2 linked regions of the Oreochromis niloticus genome follow. The protein of the gene in region 1 binds, or shares a complex with, the protein of each later gene. Links are inferred from orthologs where the notes say so. Each region holds a gene or a part of one and is shown in the gene's direction. Other genes may lie near its edges.

Region 1 (6,897 bases):
GCCAAGATTCCTGGACAGAAATAACATCCGGTTTAACATTAAGTAGTTTGATGAAATGCTTCAACTCTTGGCCATTGGCCAACAGACTCCTTGCATTCCATTAAAGGATAAGTACCATGAGTACATAAAATAATATCATGCTTCCTGACTTGACTGATAATTGAGGTTGTCCCTCACTTCTTCCCATGTCAGTCCTACTAAACCCAAGTGTTTAATCGCCCTGGCTTAACAATAAGCTGAATTTTCTCCTGCTTAGATTTCACATCAGCTGTGGTGTTTATCACTCCTGCAATGAATGTAACCAACGCCATCTTATCAATAACCATACCATTCGTGTTGATCTGGGGAACTCCTTGACCCCGAGATGTACCCTGTCCTGGGTTGACGTTGACCTGTTCACTCACTCTCATCACCCTCACTGCTTCAGCATAGGAGATCTTCTTCTCCACCCTCACTTTTTGAATATGATTTTCTTGTTTCATTCTCTCACATCCAGCATACGCAACACTGTGACTCCCACCACAACTACAACACTTTGGTTGAACTCCATCTCCACATTTCCCATATTCGTGATCTCCACCACACAGAGCACATCTCCTCTTTTCCTTACAGTTTTTCGCTAGGTGTCCAAACCTTTGACAGTTAAAGCACCTCAGAGGTTTTGGAACGTAGGCTCATTCTGGATAACTGATGAAACCCAAAAACACTTTCCTTGGCAGATTTCCTTCTTCAAAGTGTCTCAGGATACTTTCACTATCTACCTTAATTCCTTCTTTTGTTGCTTTCAACCTGCCCACAGAAATCACATTTCCTCCTTTGATTTTTTCTTTTCAGATCATCCATTTTCACACTAATGGGGACCCCAGAAATTACCCCCTTGCATCCACCTCCTGTCTGTGCACCCACATGCCCAACATTTTCCACTTTAAACTTCCCCAACTGCTTTAAGTTCAAAGCCTTGTTGAACTGCTCTTCATTTACACATTGCACAAGAAGATTTCCATCTGACAGTACCTTAGCAGAAACTAGATCTCCCACTTTACTGTTAAGTTCAGCTGTCAACACGAACTGACTCAGTTTTTTAATATTGACTTGTGTTCTTTCGGTAAATCTCAGAACAGCAAACATTTTCTCTCTAGCTTCTAAAGAATCATCCCTACCACTACTGCTCCCACCTCTTTTACGCTTTCCCCTCCTCTGCTCACTTTGCATTTGCTCCAGAGGCATTTCCTCTTCTTCGTCTAAATCAACATAGTCTTCCCAGCTGCACACAGCTGACCCACTCATGGAACAGTCGTGCTCAACCGCCGCCAATCATTTCCACTGATTCCTCCATGAGCTGGCACCCAAAGAAAGTGAATATTGCCACCAATCAACCACCCAGCCCCACCTACAAAGGGCGGTTCCCAGTCTCAGGTCTCACCTGTCACATTCATATATTCATATACACACACTACCAGTTAAAAGTTTTAGAACACCCCAGTTTTTCCAGTTATTTATTGCAATTTAAGTCGTTGAAGTTCAATGGATAGCTTGAAATGGTACAAAGGTAAGTGGTGAACTGACAGAGGTTTTAAAAAAAGAATGGTTACCCAAAAATTATACAAAAAGGCCTTTTTCAGGGAACACAAAATGAGTTAACGATTTAAAGCTGTTCTGCAGCAACGGCGGTTCAAGTCTTGAAAGCTGGTGCTACTAATTCCTACAGGTGTTCCAACTGTTCTGGGTTACTTACAACCATCTCTGTCTAAATAAAATGGTGTCTGCATTTATGCTTCAATCTCTAATAATTGGCTATGTACCACAGGCCTTCAAGCTTCAACAGTGGACTCATCTCTATGCTTGTCCTGCTAGACCTCAGTGCAGCGTTCGATACTGTTGACCATAATATCCTATTAGAGTGATTAGAGCACGCTGTAGGTACTACAGGTACTGTGCTGCAGTGGTTTGTATCATATCTATCTAATAGACTCCAATTTGTTCATGTAAATGGAGAGTCAGGAGAGGTTTAACTACTGCCAGCTTGAAGGCCTGTGGTACATAGCTGATTATTAGAGATAGGTTGATCATATTTAAGATTGAAGAATTAATTAATGGCAGGACTTCTTTGAGCAGTTTTGTAGGAATGGGGTCTAAAAGACACGTTGATGGTTTGGAGGAAGTAATTATTGAAGTTAACTCAGAAAGATCAATTGGAGAAAAAGAGTCTAACTTAACATCAATGGTACTAAGAGTAGCTGTAGATAATATTACATCTGTGGGATGATTATTGGTAATTTTTTCTCTAATGATTAAAATTTTATTTGTGAAGAAGTTCATGAAGTCATTACTAGTTAACGTTAAAGGGATGGTTGGCTCAGTAGAGCTCTGACTGTTTGTCAGCCTGGCTACAGTGCTGAAGAGAAACCTGGGGTTGTTCTTATTTTCTTCAATCAGTGACGAATAGTAAGATGTTCTGGCTTTGCGGAGGGCTTTCTTATAAAGCAGCAAACTATTTCTCCAGGCTAAATGATGATCCTCTAAATTTGTGACACGCCATTTCCTCTCCAGCTGAAGACCTGAGGCTGAGGGGAGGACAGTGAACTGTAATGACTCACACACGTAGATCCTACGTGTGTGAGTGATGTGTTGTATGAGGGAGTGTGTGGGGGGGAGGGGGGTATATATAAGACTGCCCCCACCACAAAGGGTGGTCTTGCAGATGAGTCCCAAATCTGACAGCATCAGATGTCACTGGAGATGACACTGTGATGAGTATGAAGCTATATAAAAGTCTTTCAAAGGTTTCTTTATTTGTTGAGGATCATAAGTAATGCTTCTGGTCAAATCCTTTATAGAATTAATAGTTGTTTATTTCTTTATTTAGTTTTAACTTTGCAAAGAATTTTCCAGATTTATTGCCTTGTTTAAAGCACGCCAAACACAGCCTTTGCATCAGAAATTGCGTTTTCTTGGTAATTACTTAATGTAATTCTAGTTTTAGCTTTCTTGGGTTGTTAATAATGTGTTCTTGTGGTGAGGCAAAGCAATCATTAGGCAGCTTTTAATGATTTTATTTTTTGTTCTAGTTCTATTTAAAAAAAAAAATTCTTATTTGAACAGTAAGATATTGTTTAAAGTGTTAGAAAAAATACTGTTGTATGACGAATCCAAACTGGGAGCGGAATCACAAGTAAGCCTGCAGTGTGAGAGCGAGTGCTCTATTGGGGTAATATAGAGTAGTATGAGGTCTTTAAGATTCATACTAATATAATACGGGCTATCAACTATGAACTAAGTAAACTAACAGAGTACACCTAAGTATAACGGAAGTATTATAATGATCATTTACATGATATGTGCTTCTTTGTCAGTGGTGCATATAATTAGTTGGATACATGAAATTTATCCAATGATAATAATTTCATCAGGCTGAGTTGATAAAAATTGATGTAAATGGCTGCATGCTCTGTGATAGTGAGTTAAAAATGTGTTATCTTTGATCCAACTTTGATTTTATTCTATTCTGTACAGTACAGTTGTGTACTGTATTTATTCTTATTGTATTCTAATTTTTGCTTCATAACTTTTGCACTGTCCACTTCCTGCTGTGACAAAACAAATTTCCCACGTGTGGGACTAATAAAGGCTATCTTATCTTATCTTAATCTGTTTACTCTGCTTTTCTTTCCTTTTTTGTTGCTTTATAAAAGCTACATTTATTCTTTTTGTTTGTTCGTTTGTTGTATTTGTTCAGCCTGTGTTATTGTTACGGTGTGAGCCTTGACTCACAGCCTGTGTTTGTTTGTACATAAGCTCAATAAAGTTACTTCACTCAGGTAGGAACCTTCCTGAGCGAAATGGATTCCTTGAACGTTCTCCTTTAATGTGACACTCCTGCTCCGAACAATCACTTCCGTAAACACGCAGTTCTCTTCCTGTTACTTTCGCGTGGTTTTGGACGGGACGTCCTGGAGTTTGTTTTCCGGAAGCGTGTTTCCTTTGATCAAACTAGTTAACGCCACAGTATCGAGAGCTGTACGGTGTGAGAGATGTAACGAGCGAGTCTCCTTTCCAGCTCTGTCTTTCAGCTTAACAAGCAAAGACCAGCGTTAGCTGCCCGGTGGGTTATGGAAATAGACGGTCGAGACTTTCTGAAGACCCCTTCTGTGAAGACGGTCAGATTTGGAGGTAGTGTTGCGGAGACGTTAGAGAAACACAAACACGTGAGTTATATCTTAGGGTTGTCATTCTTGGAAAATGATAAAGAGAGATATTTATTTAGGGTTGTTGATTCTGGTGACACATCTACGAGATGGTCCACTAAGTTATTAAATGAATCTAGACCCACCTGCTGGCCTGTCTGTGGATTCTGCTGACCTTCGTAAAGTTGTTTACAAACACCTCTATGTTTCCTACGCTTTTGGTGAACTGCTTTTTTGGTGAGCTGTTTCTCCTTGTTTTTTAAGGGAGACTCGAGTGATTATGAACTCCTGAAACATCAGCTGGTTGATCCTGAGATAAAGGTAAGCATTAGTGTGAGGGCACCCTGTGGTGTGGTGGACTTTGCTTCTCAGTGAACGCCCTCTCCTCCGACAGGATGCTCAGATCATCAACTGGCTGCAAGAATTTCGGACTTGTGTGACCCACCTGACCAAGGATCATGAACAGCTCATTTATACTATACTGGTGAGTGTAAATATTAACATGATGCAAGGAGAAGAGTACTATATTTACTCCACCGGGGGTCCAAGTGATCTGAGTCGATCTAAAACAAACATCACATCAACAAACTGCATGCTGCTGATTAGCCTGTCAGCATGGCAAGCAGACGGCTTAGCAGCAGATGTACCGTTGCCTCGGTGTCCGCCATTGTTGTGTAGCGTTTAAATGAGCTCATGGGACTTTTGGGTGTTGCTATAACGACCCCACGAACATTGAGGTGGTACTCAGTTATATTGTAAAATCACCAAAACCGAGCAGAGTAGGTACGAGTGGAAAAGAGGCATAAGCTTTAATTTTTAAAAGGATCCATTTTAAAGTTTCAGAGCTTTTAATATGCAGCTGTTACTTTAGACCTAAACAGCAGCACTGAGTGCAGGCAGTGCACTAAATGACCAGATTAACCAGTTTCTGCAGCACTGATCACATGTTGCATTTTACCAGTATATTTTTATGTTCTATAGATTTTTAAATTTATTTGATAATGTTTCTGTTGGAGCTGTCATGAATTTTCTCTTTATTGTGGGATTTTCACATGACATGTGAAATGCCCATTATAGTTTAGTTAGATACTGCCAACACCACCCCTCTCATGTGAGTGCGCAGGGCAAACCCCAAGTTAACTTACTGCTCACACTAATCACCACAGTTACAGAACAAATGTCACCTGACAGAAAAACATATAGAATCAAACACAGGATGAACTGTAGTCCTCGGGTCTGGGGCCCATCTGCACACTGAGCCGTCACACCAGCCATCCACTCCATCAGCAACAGACAAAAAAAGCGAGTGCAAGACAAACTGGCCTGTGTAGGACCTGCTGCCTCGCAACCCACCCAAACTACCCCACAACTGAGAGAAAAAATGAATTTGTTTGATCTTAAACATGTAAATGTTAAAAAAAAAAAAAGTCATCAGGAATTTGGCAAATACTTTTTCACAGCACTATTATAGCCTAAAAACAGGACCTAGGCAGGTTTTGTTCTTGTATTTGATTGACTTGCATTGACTGTAAATAACATACTGTAATGCTGTTGCTGGCCTCTTGTGGCAGTAAATTCAAACTTTGAATGAGGCAGTCTGTCATTATAGACTCATTCAAAAAAAAAGAGGATGGAAATGCCTTTTATTTTGTTTTCTCTAATAAATAAATGCCTATTGCAAGCTACACTGATAATACCTTGATTAGTATATTTTTATTATATTGTCATGAATATTATCGCATATTTCTTTGAAATATTGTTATAAAACTAATATAACTTATAACCTAGCCCTGTTCCTCAGTGTGGGTGAGAGGTCATTTGCTTTTTAAAGCAACATCTTAAACTAGTATGTATTAATAAAACAAAGAAATTAAATTGAGCCAAGAAAAAAGAGGGTAGATATACAAGATATAGAACATGTATGCCTTCACCAAATTTGTAATGACCTCATTCCAATATGAAATTCAATTTTCTTTATATTGCACCAAATCGCAACAACAGTCGCCTCTACAGTTGACAGGGAAAGTATTATTGTGATCAGACCTGCAGAGAGAACCGCACATCCAGAACGCTGACTCGTTGTTCTTAGTTTAATCCACACCCGTTTAGCCTTCTGCTCCTGTAGTAACCAGACAATAACCCTTGATCACTGATTCCCCACACCAGCGTTCAAGTTTGAATCAGGACCAATATTAGAGTCAAATATAAAATGAAAAAAAAAAAATTCACGGGAAAAGCCGTGGTTGATTTAACATGGACAAACAAACTTTTGTCAGTATGATATACTGTTGAGAATGTGTCATCTATTCTGTTATTTTGTTACACATTTTAAACCGTTCAGTCCACTGATACGGTCGAAGATAAAGTACTTTCTAACTCTAGCAGTGGATTATTTGGCCTTAGGTGTCTTCATGTGGTGTGAATCAGCAGACGTCCAAAAAGCTGATTGTGTTTATATGCTGGAAGACATTACACTGTGTGTGTGTGTGTGTGTGTGTGTGTGTGTGTGTGTGTGTGTTTGTTTTATAGAGGCTTCCTTGGCTGGGCCGGAGCCAGGCTGTGGTGGACGAGTACCTGGCCTTTCTGGGTAACCTGGTGTCGGCACAGACTGTCTACTTGTGTGCCTGCCTTAACATGGTGGTCTCCCACTTCACCCCCAGTATGTTACTCTGACTGGTACTGAAGTAATCATGATTCATACACGTGTTACAGT
Region 2 (7,196 bases), on another chromosome or scaffold:
CTCGATGATGATCTGATGGCAGGAACGCAGCTTCACGTTAAAAATCACAGTGGGACAACACAAACAGGAAGCGGAACAGAGCATGCTCACCTGCTGGATCTGGACGCCGTACCCGCTGAACCCCTCGCCCCACGACGTGTTTCTGTAGATGTCGTCGACACGGTCGATCAGCTCAATCTGAAACACAGTTGGGAGGGGGTGGGGTTAAGTGTCAGTGGATGGCGGGGGTGATGGATGTACAGGTGGTACCGACCAGGTAGTTGAGGGTTGTGCTCTCCTCCTCACGGCCCATGTGTTTGTAAAAGCGATGGTCGGCCACCAGCAGCAGAGGACACGTGTTCTTCTTGTGGTCGTGCACGTGACGCTTCACTCTGAACGCCGACTCTAAACAAGAAACCACCGAAACACGTCAGACAATGTTATTTATACATTTGACACTGAAAGCTCTTTTTTATTTGTTATTATTTATGAGCGTTTGAGTGTGTCAAATATGAAAATATATGTTTTCACTGTAATATCTCTGTTCTCTGACCCAAACCTGATTTTTTTAAATCGTTTTTTTCCCCCACCTTAAGAGCACTTTTTCAGATTTGGTTTTTTTCCCCATTTAAAGCTCAAACTTTTCAGGAATAAGATTTCACCTGTTGGGATGGCAAGCTCTCTTTTGTTTCTTTTGTTTAAACAGCTTTTACTTTGTTATTTTTTTCACATTAAAAGTCTTTTTTCTGACTGACTTCCTGTTTGTGTCGCTCGCTCTGTACTCAGTTCAGATGAAGGTGTTTCACTGGACTTTCACGTTTGTGCTGCGCAGTGACAGGAAGTTCTCGCTGTCTCTGTGGTTAACGCAGTTCCTGTGTCACCTGGGCGTGGTCGCTTTGGGTCAGTGTGAGCTTTACCCTCAAACAGGAAGCAGTCACAGTGCCAAGTTCAGGCGAGGACCTCGCTTCTCACCTTCTTCCTCCTTTTCCTCCACCACAGCTGCTCTCACGCTGTCAGGGAGCAGGTCACTGGGGTCAGAGGTCACGTAGCCGCAGACCGAAGGCTGCTGCAGGCGGCTGATGTTGCGGATGTCTTCCGAGCGATAGATTATGAGGCGACCGTCAGAGGGCGCCGACGTGAACCTCCAAAGAGGCTGAAGAGAGCAGAGGAAGGTTTAGGGACCGATCACTCAGCAGGCGCTTACTCCAAGTCTCAGGTGTTTACCTCAACATTGTACTCGGCCTCATCAGTCAGGATGTGAGCGGAGAACTCGTCATCTTCGATGTGCGCCTGAACACGGGAGTTCTCCTCCCCTACAACACAAAAACACATTAAAGGAGCCGTTACTCCATATTAATCCTGTCAAAGGTCACCACACGCATTCTACACGTGTGTTTGAAGTAGCAGCCTGACAACATCTACAAGAAGCCTGACAAGGCCTCGCGAACCTTCTCAAGGACATCTGGGGATTTTTTTAAATTACTCTGCAAGCTTTACAAGAAACCAATTAGTAGAATTCTACCCCCAAAGACCTCCACAAAGGCTCTGCTTAAACAGTTTACCGATGACGTGTCCGGTGAAGTAGTTGTGCCTGTTGACCGGGTAGGTCCGCTCTTGGCCATCCTCGCTGATGACCACGGCTCTGAAGTCGCTGGTGAAGAGCTCGTCGTTGGTCCTCAGGTAGAGTCTGAAATGCCTGTAGACACGAGGAGGAGATGTTCAGATTTCACAAATCAAAGATTTTAAAATGGCACCGAGCTGCACGGACGGATGCCGCTATCTTACCTTTGCAGGGCGCTGAAGCTGACCAGCTTCTCCATGTGCGTCTGAGACTGGACGTCACGGCGGCGGACGGAGTGCGTCTGCAGGCTGGAGAGAGGCAGCACATCAAAGTCATCCAGCATCGCTCTGAGAGACACTACAGAGAGAACGCAAACCTGCCCGTTAGCATTGAAAATCCTGTGAAATACCTCAGCTCCTCCACCACACGCCAACACGTGCCTCAAAAACGTGACCAAAATCAACACATAAGTTAATAATTAACACAAATAAAATGCTGCTGACTTTATATTTAACATAAATGTATGTTTTTCATCCACTTTTTCCTTTTATGAAAAGAAAAAGTTTGTAACAATAAAAGAAGTTAAAATATTAAACTTCAGGACTCATCACTTTTCATCGCCTCATTTCCTGTCAAATGATGACATCATGATTACAAACCAGTGACATGTGATGTCATGCCAACATCGTTATGGCACAGTATTATTCTTAGGTTTTGCTTTTTCTTTCCTAAAAGTCAAAATTCACTCCCTACACTTCTCTTCTTATTTATGACTTTTTTATTTTTAAGATAAATTCTAAACCCACAGTTGTTCCACGTTAGTGTATTGTGATTTTTTTTTTCAACTATAGTTATATCTCTCTGGTCAAAATGTTAACTTTTAATCTCATTTGACTTTATTTTAATTCAATAAACTCCTATCATGATCAAGTTGAATGCTCCTGGACTCAGCCATTTATTTAAATACCTGTGATTTTTATGCGAATTAAACTTTTGTTTGGCATGAGCGGTCCTCCATACCTTCTGCCTCAAACATGAACTTTTCCAGCGGACCGGCGGTCCTCACAAAGGACACATTTACGATTAAATTCAGTTTTAAACACTCACTGAAGTCCTGCTCCGTCTTGTCCGGGGGGACGGCGGCCTCCGTTAAAGCGGTGAAAGCGGCTAAAAAGGCGAAAATCAGCCGCATGTTGAACCGTCGGGACGGACTAAATGAAGACCTTCCGCCGCTCGCTTCAGCGTTCTAGCATCAGACTAAACTCCGACCGCAGCTCAGAAACAAACGTCAGCTTTAAAGCTCATCTCTGGACCGACCTCACTAAATCTCACCCCACTCGAGTCTTTGTTGTGTTTGGAAACGGGCAGAGGAAACGGGCAGAACAAACGCCCCCACTCCGCCGAACCAGGAAGCCCGAGAGCGGCCGAGTGAAGCTACCGAGAGCCGAGGAAGGAGGGCGGAAGGAGGCCCGAGGGCTTTCACAGTAAAAGCAAGGGACTTTAAGGGTACATTTGATTATTAATCAATACTGTCGAAAACAAACGCACGATAGCTAATAATCAATAATCCAATAAATTTTAATGATGGTAATCCTTTAGACTGGAGGTGGAGTGCTGTCATCGAAACTTTAAAACTAAAACGTAAGTAAAAAAGTTCATTTTAAAGTAATAAATATAATACAACATTTAATTCATTTAATGAAATTAACTAGAGAAATAAATAACAAATAAAATTACACAATTTCAAATACAAATAGTAATGTATGCATACAAATATGTTTCAAATCAATAAATAATCATCTTAATCTTAATCTTAATTTTGTTTAGTGGGTTGTCTGTGTTGTATAGCCCTCTTTAATAGCAATGGAAGAATCAAACCTTCAGTTGTTTTAGAAATGTTTCACAAAGTGTTTGCCCGCACGTGTTATTTTGAAAATCCGTCAGGCGTTTGTGTTTGTTTTGTTGTAAACTTTGCGCGAGTCCAACAAAAAGTCGCGAAACCATTCCCGTGACAGTGATTGATGACAGCTGATCAGCCTCAGTTAGATCAATAATAAAAATCAATCAAACTATTATTCTGTGTGTATGTGTGTGTGGGGGGGGGGTCAGCTTATATAAGAGAATCAGAGAGACATCTGGCATCTATTTATAACCTCTGACCTCATCAAATCCGCTTAGAAACACAGAGCACATCAGGAACTCTTCATCATCATCATCATCATCTGGAGGAAGAAAAACTCTCCTGATTAAAAGTGACTGAGAAACATCCAGAAAATTCATACACAGTATATTTATACTAGGAGATTTAAAAATAAGTATAAAAGTCACATTTATCATTTGTTATTTTTAATGGTAAATGGTAAATGGCCTGTATTTGTATAGCGCTTTACTAGTCCCTAAGGACCCCAAAGCGCTTTACACATCCAGTCATCCACCCATTCACACACACATTGTCACACACTGGTGATGGCAAGCTACATTGTAGCCACAGCCACCCTGGGGCGCCGGACACTGGCGCCACCCGGCCCTCTGACCAACACATTTAACACATGTATTATTTTTATTTTTACTTATAACAATATTTAAATAAAACGTATTTAATTTATTTTATTTTATTTTATTTTATTTTATTTTTACAGCTGAGTAGAAGCAGTTGAAGTATGTAATCTGGCCTGTGGTTGCAGCAGAGAGGCGTTCAGTCTCCCAGAAATCAAGCGCGAAGAAGAAGAATCCCAGTATCTCCGACCAGAGGCATGTGCGGTTGTAACGAAGTGCCGATAAAATCCAAAGTTTCGTGTTAAAGCTGCAGTTTTCCACTCGGGATGGATGACGAACATACGGTGAGTCCCGCGGTGCTCTCATAAACAGTTCGTTTCATTTTACGCAACCTACGGTGAACGCAGTTGTCAGCTAGTTCGGTCTTATCAAACTCCATTAGAAATATTAGTGTTTTAAGATGATTGGCACGACATTCAGTCTCCAACTTTAACTTCAGACATTTAACGGGTTTGTGTGACTGTGCAGCCGCTGAATAGTTAATCGGCACACATTTAATAACTGTTCTCTTTAATTAAAATCCGTTAGCATAGTATCAGCGACAGTTTATTTATAATGTTTGAAATAAACTCATCCGTCTATCAGTACCAATAACTGTGAACGCTTAATGAGTTTTGATTTAAATTTTTATTTAAACTACATTGTGTGTCGAAGTACTCAAAGTCTCAAAGCAGCCCTAAAGTAAACAAATGAAAACACAAAAAATGATTCCCGATAAACACAGAAGGATTGTGTTAGCAATCGTTGTTAATGACGTCTAGGCTTTTCTGGGTGAAGTGTTTGGGATCTGGAGGTTTAATTGTTGTTCTTTCCCGTGGGCGCTGCTGTGCAGTTTCACATAAATGTGTTTTTAAAGGCATTTAAATGTGAACATTACATACATAAAGTACTTTTTTTTTTTTTTTTTTAAACTGAAAGATTAATTTGTTCATTAAAATATTTACAGAAACACCTGAACATTACCACGTGTGTGTGTGTGTGTGTGTGTGTGCGTGCGTGCGCGCGTGCAGGCCGAGTACACGGTGCCCTGTGCCCAGTGTTCTGCGGTGGACTGGGGCATTTCGGACGAGGGTCGCTTCTACTGCAGGTCCTGCCACAACGTGATCGAGGTAAAAACATCTTCATCATTATGACCTGTACAGTGGTCTGTAGCTGGAGGTTGAGGTGTCAGGGTCTCTTCAGTGCCCTTTCAGAGACACTCTTTTTACTACACAGGTGGATGAGTGTGAAGTTGTTATGGGGATATAGGGAATTCAGAACTCCATAAACATGCTTTAAGATGCTTCTTTTAACAATATGGTGTTGGTGGTTAAGCCCACGTGTAGAGGACCTCCTTATTCTGCTGCCTAACATGTGACTGTGTCCTTAGAGGACCCGGGAGGTGGTGGACCTGTCCTTCTTAAAGTTGTCCAGCAGGGTGTCAACCATCAGAGGACCCCGCAAGAAGCAGGCCGGTCAGTGTCCGATCAGCAGCAGCATAAATCGATGATGTCATATCCTGTTTAACATGTCTGTTTGTCTTAGAGCGTGGTCACGTGTGGATGGTCTGCGAGGGTTTCCAGTTCATCCTGAAGAACCAGGCCGATGCTCTGCTCGCGCTCGGAGTCAGTCCTCAATTTAAGGTCCGCCTCCTCTCTCTGTTAACCACAAAGCATCCAATTAGAGGCCTGACTCGTGTCACTGTTTTAGGACGACGTGCTGTGTCCTCTGTGGAGGTGTTACCTGCAGAAAAGTCGCCAGGCCTATACCCACGACCCTGTGAGGAGCTGCAAGTTCAGAGTGGTGAGTTTTTATGGTAGCGGAGGTTCGGGTGGTGCATGGAAACTGCTCGTCTGCATTATTTTTTTTCTGGCAGTTTCACCTTATGTTTTTTTGTTTGTTTGTTTGTTTGTTTGTTTGTTTGTTTGTTTTTAAATCCATTTTGTTTTCTTTTTTGTATTTTTATTTGATTTGATTTGTATTTTTAATGCTTAATTTTGATTAGTTTTCTTTATTTTCTTATTTCACAATTTTTTTATTTGTATTCTTTTTGTATATTTAATCATTTTTTTTAATTTTATGTTTTACTTCATCTACTAAGTTTTATTTATTTTTTTATTTTATTTTTTAGTTTATTGATTTCATTTTATTGACTCATTTCATTTTTTGAGATTTAATAATTAAATCTAAATCCTCAGAGAGCCGTGGGTTCGGACTCGGAGAGCGCCAGCGAGGCAATCAGCTGCACAGACGGCGAGTCGAACCCAGCAAGCACAGCGGGCTCAAACACAGGTACGGTGCTGGAAGCGTTTTCAGTCTGACAGGAAGCTCCTGTAAAAGTTTCACATGACCAGATGAGGTTTCTTGCATTAGCTGAACTGCTCGTTTAACCTCAGAGAACTCCGGTTTTTGGTCCGGCTCCTCGGACACCCTCACCTACCTGTCGGCCAGGAAGAAGCGGAGCCAGAGTCTGCTGAGCATGAAGAAGACACTGGCGCTGATCTACCTGGCTCTGGTATGGAGCCGTGAGGCGCTGACGCTCAGCGACCTGCTCAGGTAACGCTTGCACCCACCTGCACTTGTGTGGCTGAGGGTTTTTAACCAGAGTTTTTCAGCTGAATGAACGTGATGTTTTGCAGGCTTGTGAATGAGGGTCACATCCCGTACTTGAACGCCTATGAGCAGCTTCCCGAGGAGATGAAAGTCACAGGGAAGGACTCCCTCATCTTCATAGTCGAGGTGAGAAAGCCGCCATCTTGTTTATTACCTGGCCCCGGTAATGATGCATGACTTAGCTCTCACCTGGTTTCTGCAGACAGTCCCGTCTCATCACGCCGTTCATAAGGAGGCCGAGACTATCATTCAGTTCCTGCAGCTTCCTGCTTTTCCTCCAGTCAGTCGGCAGACCCTGCTGCACCCGGCGCTGCTCAGCCTCAGATACCTGTCCGACGTCAACCTGCCCGGTAACAACTGCTCCAGTGTTCTGACCGATAGTGGTCTCTGGAGGCGACCATCTTTACATACAAACACTGACAGAGTGTACCTGTATACGCCTGTTTCCTGTCAGATGAGCTCCACCCCTGGGTCTGCAGGCTGTTGGAGCACACCGGTATGATGGATC

Evidence for each region. The genes of interacting proteins can lie anywhere in the genome.
Region 2: rrn3 (region 1) and taf1b share a complex: the UniProt entries of both Homo sapiens proteins name them as parts of the pol I pre-initiation complex. The link is inferred for Oreochromis niloticus from reciprocal best matches to the Homo sapiens genes RRN3 and TAF1B.

The regions. Positions count from the first base shown.
Region 1 is NC_031969.2:6,416,900-6,423,796, forward strand, and holds the start of rrn3 (RNA polymerase I-specific transcription initiation factor RRN3), read left to right. Parts: upstream 1-3,885; 5' UTR 3,886-4,109; coding exon 4,110-4,205; intron 4,206-4,448; coding exon 4,449-4,505; intron 4,506-4,578; coding exon 4,579-4,668; intron 4,669-6,713; coding exon 6,714-6,843; intron 6,844-6,897. UniProt on the Homo sapiens protein: Required for efficient transcription initiation by RNA polymerase I (Pol I). Required for the formation of the competent pre-initiation complex (PIC).
Region 2 is NC_031980.2:25,316,328-25,323,523, reverse strand, and holds the start of taf1b (TATA box-binding protein-associated factor RNA polymerase I subunit B), read left to right. Parts: upstream 1-4,190; 5' UTR 4,191-4,362; coding exon 4,363-4,380; intron 4,381-5,106; coding exon 5,107-5,205; intron 5,206-5,465; coding exon 5,466-5,550; intron 5,551-5,620; coding exon 5,621-5,718; intron 5,719-5,785; coding exon 5,786-5,878; intron 5,879-6,273; coding exon 6,274-6,367; intron 6,368-6,471; coding exon 6,472-6,631; intron 6,632-6,714; coding exon 6,715-6,814; intron 6,815-6,890; coding exon 6,891-7,038; intron 7,039-7,142; coding exon 7,143-7,196. Other genes in the region: adam17b (disintegrin and metalloproteinase domain-containing protein 17), read right to left, coding at 1-12, 91-177, 254-384, 952-1,132, 1,204-1,292, 1,542-1,675, 1,765-1,897, 2,648-2,732. UniProt on the Homo sapiens protein: Component of RNA polymerase I core factor complex that acts as a GTF2B/TFIIB-like factor and plays a key role in multiple steps during transcription initiation such as pre-initiation complex (PIC) assembly and postpolymerase recruitment events in polymerase I (Pol I) transcription.